Medicago truncatula: one gene and its partner. The protein of the gene in region 1 binds, or shares a complex with, the protein of each later gene. Links are inferred from orthologs where the notes say so. Each region holds a gene or a part of one and is shown in the gene's direction. Other genes may lie near its edges.

The links. Proteins that work in one complex are often made in the same cells at the same time.
Region 2: CBL-interacting serine/threonine-protein kinase 23 (region 1) and calcineurin B-like protein 3 share a complex: the UniProt entries of both Arabidopsis thaliana proteins name them as parts of the K(+)-channel calcium-sensing kinase/phosphatase complex. The link is inferred for Medicago truncatula from reciprocal best matches to the Arabidopsis thaliana genes CIPK23 and CBL3.

Annotation. Positions count from the first base shown.
Region 1 is NC_053043.1:21,923,333-21,929,268, reverse strand, and holds the start of CBL-interacting serine/threonine-protein kinase 23, read left to right. Parts: upstream 1-2,058; 5' UTR 2,059-2,472; coding exon 2,473-2,673; intron 2,674-4,945; coding exon 4,946-5,008; intron 5,009-5,143; coding exon 5,144-5,215; intron 5,216-5,328; coding exon 5,329-5,436; intron 5,437-5,814; coding exon 5,815-5,895; intron 5,896-5,936. UniProt on the Arabidopsis thaliana protein: CIPK serine-threonine protein kinases interact with CBL proteins. Binding of a CBL protein to the regulatory NAF domain of CIPK protein leads to activation of the kinase in a calcium-dependent manner.
Region 2 is NC_053044.1:27,322,570-27,328,505, forward strand, and holds the start of calcineurin B-like protein 3, read left to right. Parts: upstream 1-2,710; 5' UTR 2,711-2,895; intron 2,896-3,857; exon of another isoform or gene 3,858-3,903; intron 3,904-3,986; 5' UTR 3,987-4,017; coding exon 4,018-4,141; intron 4,142-4,474; coding exon 4,475-4,557; intron 4,558-4,745; coding exon 4,746-4,805; intron 4,806-5,551; coding exon 5,552-5,660; intron 5,661-5,936. UniProt on the Arabidopsis thaliana protein: Acts as a calcium sensor. CBL proteins interact with CIPK serine-threonine protein kinases. Binds calcium ions. Binding of a CBL protein to the regulatory NAF domain of a CIPK protein lead to the activation of the kinase in a calcium-dependent manner.

The DNA of each region.
Region 1 (5,936 bases):
ATGAGTTTTCTTAGGCCTTAAAGAGAAAGAATGTGTCTTGAAAAGTGATAAATGAATTGCATAAGCAGATCCAAACATATTAGTTTACTTTCAAAATGAGTAAATTACTCTACATTCACTTTTGGAATAAGTTAAATTAGTAAACATTGATGTAGTATAAAGAAATTTTATACTCCCTCCGTCTCAAATTGAATGTCGCTTTGGAAAAAAAATTTGTCCCAAATTATATATCGCTTTACAATACCAATGAAATATTAATGTTATTTTTCCTATTATATCCTTAACTATTAATTACTTCATCTTCTTTCAATTATTTCATTTATCTTTTCCATACCATTTATTAAAGATAATTTTGTAAAACAACTCATAATTTCTCTTCCCCACACAATATTAATTACATTTCTTAATACGTGTGAAATGGCCAAAACGTCATACAATTTGGAACGGAGGGAGTATTTAAGAGTGGTGTTTCTATTGTAGATGCTCATCAGTTTCTATTGTAGGGATGCCATTTCTTTTGTTTCCTTTTGACTGATGTAAATTTTGGCAAAGTTCCCTTTTTGGTTAGTCTCTTTTTGATAAATCTTCACTTATTATGTAGGCTTAATTACACTTTTGGTCCTCGTGTTTTGGCCTACTCACGAAATTGGTCTTGCCCTTTTAAAACAGAACAAAACGGTCCTTCAATTATCATTTTTGTTGCATTTTTCGTCCTACCTCCTATTTTCAAACTCTAGAAATGCAGAGAAATGACAGTTTTAGGCGGTTTTAGACCTTCCCCTATGCTCAACCATGAAATCAACAAGGAATAAAACATGTGGGCACAAGGAATCTATTCTATTCAGCACACTAACAAAAAAAAAAAAACCATAATTTGAAACATATCTTAGAAATTAGGGTTTTTTTGGTTAGTGTGTTGAATAAAGTGAATTCTTTGTACCCACATGCTTTATTCCTTGTTTATTTCATAGTTGAGCATAGAGGTTAGGTCTAAAACTATCATTTCTTTGCGTTTTTGGAGAATAAAATGGGGGGTAGGACGAAAAATGCAACAAAAATGATAATTGAAGGACCGTTTTGTTCTGTTTTAAAAGGGCATGACCAGTTTCGTGAGTAGGCCAAAACACGAGGACCAAAAGTGTAATTAAGCCTATTATGTAATGACATATCGTTGGTCCCTTCATTGGTTCCAATTAAAAACATGCTAATTATAATGTTGTTTTCCTAATTAGGATATGCTCTTCTAATGCATCAAAGCTTTGTAATTAAAAGGTAGGAAATTTGTAGAAATATGTAGTTATTTTCCATAATTTGTTCATTTTTCCTTTTGTACAATTGTTTTACAAGATACGTTATTCAACCCGTGCTGAAGCACGGGTTTGTAAGTAGTTCCTCTAAAAAGAATAGGTATAATTTTATTTTTTTTAAGAAAAAATCAATGACCCATGTGTTTTGTTTTGTCTTGCTTTTCATTTGGACTGGTTTTGTTTGCTGGATTCAATGGTCCGCATCTTGGTATAAGACATTGGTAAGACTTTCATTGGCGGAATGATATTTTCTTTGTTGAAGAATGGGTGGATTGATATTATAAATACTTATATTTTATTTTATTGTAGAAAAAAAAAACATATATTTTAATATCAAAAAAATAAAAATAAAAATATTAATATATTTGTCATGGGAATACGTGTTCTATAATATAGTAGTAAAAAAATACACCTTCCGCTCACTAATATAAGCAAAAATCTAATTTTTTAGATACATTCAGTTAATGATGTATGTGGTCTTTATTATATGTTATATACATCATTAATTGAATATATTTAAAAAATATATTTTTGCTTATATTAGTGACCGGAGGATCTACTACAATTTTATAATTTCAATGCAACCTAAGACAAAATCCAAATCCAACTGCATTAAATTGAAAAGATAAAAATCCAAATCCAATGGCATATTCGATTTTGACAATTATGACACATGTGACCTTGCTAGATGAGCCTTCCTCACATAAACCTCTTATTCATTTCATTCATTCATTTCATTGACCATTCTCTCTTCTTCTTCTTCTTCTTTCAAAACCATCAAAATCTTAGTATTATTTCTCTCTCTCTCAATTCCTTCCCCTTGTTTTGTGTTTTTATTCCACACAGCTGAAACATCATCATGATTTTCTCTTTTGATCCAACGGTCAACGATCAACCACCGACCATTTACCTCAATCACAAACGTTAAATCTTTTAGATTCTTCCATTTCTGATTCCTTTGTTTGGTTGGATAGAGAAGAAACAACAAAAAAGGAAAGAAAGAAGAAAAAATGAGACTCCCAAAATCTCAAGTGTGGCAACCTTGTAAGAAGAAGAGGCTCTAATATATAATCATATAATCATATAATCATAGTGAAATAGTTTGAATATAGAGAGAAAAAGGAAGGAAAGAAAAGGAAAGAAAAAAGAGAGAGAGAAAAAAAAGATGACGTCACGTTCGTCGCATATCAGCGGAGGAAGCAGCAACGGCGGACGAGCGAAGGCGGGAAAGTATGAGCTGGGTAGGACGTTAGGTGAAGGTAATTTCGCGAAGGTGAAGTTTGCGAGACACATTGAAACTGGTGATCATGTTGCTATCAAGATACTTGATAAAGAGAAAATTCTCAAGCATAAAATGATTCGTCAGGTTAATTCTTTGTTTTAATTGTTAAATCAATTATTTGTTTTTATATCTTAGCTTTCTGGGTTATTATGTTATAGATACGAAGTTTCTACTGTTGTTGTGTAAGCGTTGACTAATCTTCGTTTAGAGATGTTAATTGATCATTTACCACTGTTTATTAACTTATCTTTTTGTTTAGTTTTTAAGCTGGTGTTGGGGTTTGACTATTAATTTACTTATTTTAATGGAATTATTAATTTAATTTTGTGTGTTTTTGGTTTGATTTTTTTATTTCTTGGCTGGTAAGAAAAGATGTTGTAGAACAAACTTAGTACTTGTTTGGTTGCATGTTTGATAATCGAATATATACGTTTGCAGTGATATCAATGCAAAGTTGCCGTGATTTTTAGAATCTAGAAAATAGAGCTTCTGAAAATATTGTCGAGGTTTTGAGCTAACGGGAAAATTTGCTGCAGAACCAAATAGAGGCTTAATAGATACTCCCTCCGATCATATTTATAAGAAAAACAACTTTTTAAATTCATTGAATTAGCCATCCTTGGTTGTGGCTCTTAAATGGGTTCCTACCGATGATAATTTGTTCTTTTCCGGTTTGACTACTGGAGCAAGTTCATCTGTGGATGTCAACTGAAAGAACTGTTCTTCCACAAGAACCATGATCTTATTCATTGGAAAGTTAATAAATAAAAAATAAATGTAAATATGAAAATGAATTGATTAAGTGTGGAATACTAGGGTTGACCAAGATAGAGTTGAGATTCGAACACGGATCATCATTGGAGACACTAAAGAGTTTGACTTCTTTTTTTGTTTTCTTAGTTTTGGTGTCAAGTTCTGTTAGTGTTATGTGTAGGGAATGTTATTATCTGATTTTTCTCGTTGGAATAGTTTTCTGTCATTGAAATTTATGAGATTATCTCTGTTGAAACAATAATGCGTCTTGATTCTTGGGTAGATTACTGAAGAGAATTCAAAAGAATATCCGTATACGAAACTGACAAAGGTGATAACATTGTGCTCCAACCAAGAGACGTCATACACTGCTGATAGCCGCAAAAATGTTTCTTGTTTATACCTTTGTTCTTTATAAAACTTCAAAAAGGTTCTTCTTCTCATCAGTATCCTCGTTACTAGGCAAAAAAGAAACAGTTTACACTTTCTGACTTACGAGGCATGGAAATCATAAACATGTCAAGAATAATGAAATTGGACTTAGAGAAAGTGTGTTGGATTTTCAAACTTCCCATCAGAATTTAGCTTAAAAATATGAATAAAATTAGGGAAAAAGATGTTAGTTATTAAGACATTTCCCTAAACGTGTTGGATGTTACATCGAAACTCTCAGTTACTTGCTAGTGTCTCTGATAACTTAAACTTTGACAAAAGAAAAATCTAGAAGTTTGAATATTGCTGTGAAGGAAACAAAACTAATGGGTGCCATCATCATTCAATTAAAAGAAACTAGTGGGGTCTTCATGAAACATATCCATGACAGTACAAACCAGGGACGAACATGAATAACCGAAGTCTGTTTTGCCATTTCATTAACCATAAAAGGGCAACCCGGTGCACTAAAGCTCCCGCATACGCAGGGTCCGGGAAAAGGCTTAGTGGGAAAAGGCTTGGGTGTTGTTGTTGTTGTATACACAGGGTCCGGGAAGGGGTCCCACCATTTGGTGTATTGTACGCAGCCTTACCCTGTTTTTACACGAGGCTGTTTCCAGGACTTGAACCCGTGACCTCCCAGTCACATGACAACAACTTTACCAGTTGGGCCAAGGTTACCCCTCATTAACCATAACCTTATTTATTTATCTCATCATTCTGACCAAAGCAAAAGTGGTCTATGCTTCTGGGATGGTTCTTTTCACTTTTCCACCTCAGTCGCCATTTATTATGAGGTGCTGATTAATCATATAAAGTATTTGTTTGATTGATTATATCTCATATAATTATTTGTAAGACATTTCTTAATATTATTAATTAATTACTTGCTTTCTAATTATTTTATGTGTTGGCAACAGTTAAACATGGCAGCTATTCGAGTTTAAACTGTGTTTTGTGTGGTATTGAGAAAACGTTTAGTAGTCTATAGTTTTGAAGTTACATTTCAATGAAACATTGTTGTTGAAATCCTCCTCGCGTAGGCATGGTTTGCTTGACCGTAATAAATCTTAGTATGAACAACTTCTGCTAAATTTTGGGGTTTATTTTGTTTTTCTGAAGCATAAATACTCTAGTCTTTGCTGATATTCTGTTGTTCACTGTTATGCAGATAAAACAAGAAATATCAACAATGAAACTGATTAGACACCCAAATGTCATACGCATGCATGAGGTTAGTAGGCAGTAAATGATTGCTTCCATGTATTTTACATTTGTGTGGTTTGCTTCTATTCTCATATTTTCCCAGTTTATTCTTTCAGTTTTTCTAACTGCTCTCTGTATTGTAAACTACAAATTCCTTGTGTAGGTAATAGCTAACAGGTCAAAGATATTCATTGTAATGGAACTCGTGACTGGTGGGGAGCTGTTTGATAAAATTGTAAGGCGGTTTTTACCTTCGTGTGTGCTTTGAAGGCCTAAATTCCTTATATTAGTGTTGTCCTTCTATTACCTCTTATTTTGTTGATTTTTTCTGTTATTAAATTGAGACAGGCTCGCAGTGGGAGGTTGAAAGAAGATGAAGCAAGAAAATATTTTCAGCAGCTTATATGTGCTGTGGATTACTGTCACAGTAGAGGTGTTTGCCACAGAGACCTAAAGGTGTGTATTACTTTCTCCTTCACATTTTTCCTTTGCTTCCTTTTTTAAAGAGGAGATGGGGTGCTGGTGTTGGCTTCAAATTACATGTTTTAAAATAATTTCAGTAAAAAATTAATTTTTCCCCAGAAGGAATATGGCGAAATTACTTGAAGCCTACGCTTTTTTGAATCCAATTGTAGATTTTATGCCAGTAATACCCTTACTCTTTTTTCTCTTAGCTTTTGTTTAGCAAGCTGCTGTAAGTTTTCGATGAGATCTTTCATTTGAATAACATCCTATACCTAACCATGAAGAGCTTGTGTGTGTGTGTGTGAAAGAGATAAAAGCCTGGAAAAAAGAATAAAAAATTAACATGTTACTATGTTTCATCTATTAAAGCCTGAGAATTTGTTGCTGGATACTAATGGAACGCTCAAAGTATCGGATTTTGGATTGAGTGCATTGCCTCAACAAGTTCGGGTGAGTTTGTTGGCTAGTTTTTAGAAATGAGTAAATATAAT
Region 2 (5,936 bases), on another chromosome or scaffold:
GAAAAAATAATGGGAATTAAGATAGTGGATATTTGTGTTAAATATGTTTGTAATTACTATTGTTTTTACAATTTTATCCTTTAAGAAAGAAGGTTGGCCTATGTTTTCAACATTTTATTTATTGCTGATTGAAGAAAAATATGTATAAATAGGGGCATGTATGTAAAGAAATAATTAATATAGTTGAAAATAGAAAACGGGTCTTATAAAACGGGACAAAAAAAATTCTCAAAAGGGTCTTATAATTAGGGACGGAGGTAGTATTTAATATTGAATGTACAAGTTCTAATACAAAGTTTCTATAAAACCCTTAAAAAATATAGGAAATACTAACATGTGCTGGCACGCACATCATTAACACGAACACTGTGTTTGGTAGAGGTGATTTATGAGAGAGAAGTAGGTGAGAGAGATACAAGAGAAATGTTGTATTTCTTAGTTTGGTTCAGCAAAGAATTAGAGAAGAGAGACACACAGACGTGGAAACCATTTCTTTTTGGAGTCTTCACAAAACTGAAGAGAAAGAGAGAAGAAAGACTTGTTTATTCTGTATCTTCCAAAATTACCCTTTGTTTTCTCCTCTTCCATTTGTTTAGTTTTTTTTTTTTTTTTTAACTAATTATGCCAGCACATGATATTACCGTATGAAAATAATAAGAAAGAAATATCAACACATGATGAATCCAACATACCGTAACATTTTTATTGAGACAAAAATAAGTTACTATTTTTTTTTACGAAAAAATAAGTGAGTTAATGTATACAACTTACAAGATACAAAATCATTACGTCAAAAATATATATAAAACTATTTTTTCTGGTAGTGACAAAACTATTGTAATAGTGGATTCAACGCAAACGTCATAAATTACATGTTTTTATTAAAGGATATTTTTGTCTTTTTAAAAAATTGTAGCATCTCTTTCTCTTCTATTTCTCTTATACCAAACAATCCATCAAATCTACTATATTTCTCTCTTCACATACTCTTTCTCACCTATTTCTCTCTTCTCACAACCAAACACACCCTAAGAGTTCAAAGTGGAATTTGTTATAATTTATTTTTGTAGATGATGAAAATTAATGTTTTATAATAAATATCTACTATTTATGAAATCTTTTTTCACGGTACTATTTATGAAATCTTTAATATGTACTCTAAGGGCACAATATTTTTTTTTGTGGTGTCCGAGATTCAAACCTCAGACATTATATATATTATGCATTATTCCTATCAATTAAGCTAAGCTCACATGTATCTAAGGGCGCAAGTTAGCATAACTCAAAAAATATTTAGTTTGTGGTAAAGTCAATTTCATTTATTTTATAGGGGGAGACTCAACTCAACATTTTATTTTACATGCATTTCTTTAAAGAATTGAGTGTGTTCACGATGGAGTTTGGATCAATTATCAAAATTTATCTAATCTAAATGTAATAAAAATTAAGGATTAAAATATACTTATGTTGTTTGATCGTTTTGATATATTTGATTTTGTGTGATTTCAATTTTTTTTTTATCAATATGCAGTTTTGACTTGAATTTGAACACCTCTATAAAAAACACTTGTGTGTGTTAAGAAACCTTCTCATATTTCTATGTCATCAACACCAACTACGTCCTTTTGTGATAAACTTATGGGTCCAATCAGAGCCTCAAGTATGATAAAAGGAAGATGTGTGTGTGTTAAGAAAACCTTCTAATATTTCTAAGTCATCAACACCAACTACATCCTTTCGTGATAAGCTTATGGGTTTCAATTAGAGCCCACAAGTACGATAAAAGGAAGCAGAGAGATGCACAATGTTGTTTAGCAACGACTCTATTCAACAGGTTATTTGCAAGATAAATTCTTCACAACTCCATATTCTTCAACATCTAAATCACTCACACATGCTTGTATATGTTTCTTTGTAGGTGAAATTTTTTAGTCAGAAGGAGCACCTTCATAACATGTCTTTACCGAGATGTGCTTTGAGAGGGAAAGTGTTGCTCGAATTTCTCAGCGAAATTCATATGTTCTTCTAGGTTATATGTGATATTTTGGCAAGTTCCTCCGTATGAGTTACTCAGACTTTGTTAATGCTTGATGCCCCATGCTTAGCCATGTTCCTATTGTTTTTTTTTACCATTCTACCCAAACAATTCACACTCACTTTATATGTTTATATACAATGTCCTAAAAATTGTCGTCATTTTAGTTATTTAAATATCACTTACTCCCTCCGTCCCAAATTGTATGTCACTTTAGAAAAAATATTTGTCCGAAATTATATGTCGCTTTACAATACCAATGAAAAATTAATGTTACTTTTCCTATTATATCCTTAACTATTTATTACTCTCTCTTCTTTCAATTCCTTCATTTATCTTTCTCATATCATTTATTGAGGATAATTTTTTAAAACAACTCATAATATCTCTTTCCCACACAATATTAATTACATTTCTTAATATACGTGAAATGCCCAAAACGTCATACAATTTAAGACGGAGGGAGTATCATTTACACGTAAGTTTTACTTGACAAAACATAAGTAAAATGATTTGGCATCATAAATACACCAAATCTTTCTTACACAATTGAATCAATAAATTACATTTATTTTTTTACAAACAATAAATTACATGATATCTCATTTAATTTAGAGGCACATTTATTGATCAAATGCTGAAAAATAACTTGATGGCCACCCTATAATTGAGGTGAAAGTTATGTGTGGGTTGTACTCTTTGTACTCTACCTGTCATCGACCATACCACAGTCTCATTCTCATCACCCTCCCCTGCACTTCCTCTGCTGTGAACCTTCAAAATCCCAACCATCCAAAACTCCATTTCCACCACTTTATACTTCTCTGTTTTCTGCTCATATCATCTCTACCTCCATCAAGGTTTGATTTTTATCCCTACCCACTTCACCTTATTGCTCATTAATCATTGATCATACTTCTGTGCATGTTTTTATCATGTTTTTTGATGCGGTGTTCTTTATTTTTCTCTAAATTTCCTTTCTTTTTTGTTTTTCTACATGTTGATTTTTTGCTTGTTTATATAGATCGGTGAATTCTTTATGTATGAGTTAAGGGGTATGTGAAAAGTGGATTATCTTGAATTTTGAATCATTTTGGATTGTGGATATTGAATTTTGAATTTGGTGTTGCGTTATGGATCCATGTCTATCAGCTATTATAGTGGCGTGGTTCATGATGAGAGTTGTGATTGTTGTGGTTTATAGGATTGAGTATTTATCAAGAATTTGAATTTTGATGTGATAACATAGCATTGCCCCGTGTTTTGGAATTTATTATGGATTGAAATGGAGTGGAATATAGCAAAATTATTATTCTATAGTTTATTTTTATTTTTATTCCTTTCAAACAATCCAAATTACATAACCTATTATAATTTCATTCCATCCCTTTCCACTAATTTAAATATAAGCCTTGATTCTAGTTGCCGCTGTTTTTGTGTATGGTTGTTTATGGAGTTCCTTATCAGTCAATTCCTTGAATATATGAAGGTTCCGTGTGGCAAAACTACGACAACCAAACATCCTGAATTAATATAAGGAGTGTTGATAGACGTGTATAAATAGTTTGGGGGTTCATTGAGTACAAATTTATGCTCACAATGTTATGTTTTTCGCAGAGAAAGGAAATGAGCAATGTACAATTCATGGCTTTTGAATGCTGATACTTTTAGTATGATGTAACAATTTCATGGTTAAAATATGGAACTTGTTATGCAGTTGTGTTTTCAATTTGTGTACTTTCTGCTGATATCAGAATGTGATGGTCTGACTGGCAGATATGTATTCCAATTTTGTTCTGATTTTATTTTTTAAATTTCACAGATCGTGCTATTTGGGATTGTCACCTGAAATTGGAAATGGTTAAAAGGTTTGCACTCAAGTGCCATCTTACGATGACTTAATGATAAATGAACTACATGGGAATATCTAACTGATTTATTCATGGAACAGTTATGGAGAATTCTGATTTGCAAGAGATACCATGTTGCAGTGCTTAGAGGGATTCAAGTCTCTACTTGCTTCTGTATTGCGTTGTTGTGACATTGATATAAATAACCAGTCAAGAGGCCTTGAAGATCCTGAACTTCTTGCAAGGGAGACAGTGTGTACGCTGTTAATGCTACTTTATTCTATTGATTCATTACTTGATACTATTTGCAAAACTAGATAACAAAAGAATTTTAATATGCCAACATCTGTGAAGTGTCTGATGATTGAGATTTGAGAATACTTGCTTCTGAAATACTGTATCATGCAATATTCCGTTGAATTTTAAGGTAAAGTAATTAACGTTGATGAACTAGAACAAAAAAGAAACGGCATAGAACATGTGATTATCTCTTTGTTTGCTGATTCTATCATCTTTCACACTATTGGTTTGGAAATGAGTATGTAATATTTGTACTAAAGATGACTGTTTATTTTGAATATGTATGCAGTCAGTGTTAGTGAAATAGAAGCACTGTATGAGCTCTTCAAAAAGATCAGCAGTGCTGTAATTGATGATGGGTTGATTAACAAGGTTTGTCCTCTTTTGTCATTGAACAACTTTTGTTTGGTTTGGCATATTATGTTGAAGTTGTATGCATTGTCTATACTTATATGATATGACAATTTTTCTTTTTATTTTATTGTTTTCCTTCTTTGAAAAGGTTTTAGTTTTAAAAAATCTATCCGATGTTATATTCAATTTTAGTGCTCATCTTGCAGGAAGAGTTTCAATTGGCATTGTTCAAGACGAATAAAAAAGAAAGTTTGTTTGCTGATCGGGTACTGCTTTCCCTTCTATTCTATCTGTTTTGTGCAAATATGTTTATCTCCGGGCTATTATGTTAGTTCTTATTTTGATTTATACTTGCTGAAGATATTTTTATCACAATGTTTTCTTTTCTATTTTATGGGAAATCCAAGAAAGCGTTAAATTTACTTTGCACACTGGTATATGGTGTGGACAACATAAATTGAATAGTTCATTGAACATGAGAATCAAGAAAATTTTGTTCAACTTTGTACCTCTGGTAAATGTTTGTAGGTGTAACTAAGAAGTTAGATAACATCATATAATAGGATTTCAAGTTAGTTAGTGTACCGGAAAAATTAGTGTAGTTTCACCATGTAAATTAAGGTGCTACAATCAGTTTTGTCAATTGCAGATCGCAGAAAGTAGTGGCTTGTTCAAATTCCCTATAGCACTGTTATAGCTGCTATTTGATAACATCTTGTAGTAAATCGTGTATCGCGGAATAGTAGCAGTTTGTTAAAATTCCGTTTCACTATAGCCGCTATTTGACAACACTGGCTACAGCATTTCCTTAATATACAGTGCTTACTATCCTGTTCATATGTTTTGTTTATCACATGTTCCCTTACACACATATTTTCAAGAAAAATCACTTTCCGGACCGGATTAATTATCGTTTCTACTTAATTTTTTGTTCCTTTGTTATGTTTAATGACCGATTCTTATTATTCCATGTGGTTGGTATCTCACTCGAGCTTTTCTCTAACTCTATTAGGTATTTGATTTATTTGATACAAAGCACAATGGGATACTAGGTTTTGAAGAGTTCGCTCGTGCCCTATCCGTTTTCCATCCAAATGCCCCTATTGATGATAAGATTGAATGTATGTTGTATATTTTTCTTTTATTATTTTAGGCTGAATTCTCAGTAATTCAGCTTCTAAATTTTAAGAAAGCACATTTAGAGTAAATTCTTTAATGAGAAAAGGGGATATGCGCCGTCAGTGTAAACTAGTTTTGCACTGGCATCCAATCAGAATCCAGCACTATGCGGTAATTTTTAAATTGCAGTTACAAAATGAGATTATGTGGCAATATCATGAGATTTCATTGGACGTCAAGAGTGACAGTGCATCACCATTAAACTCTTCTTTAATTTA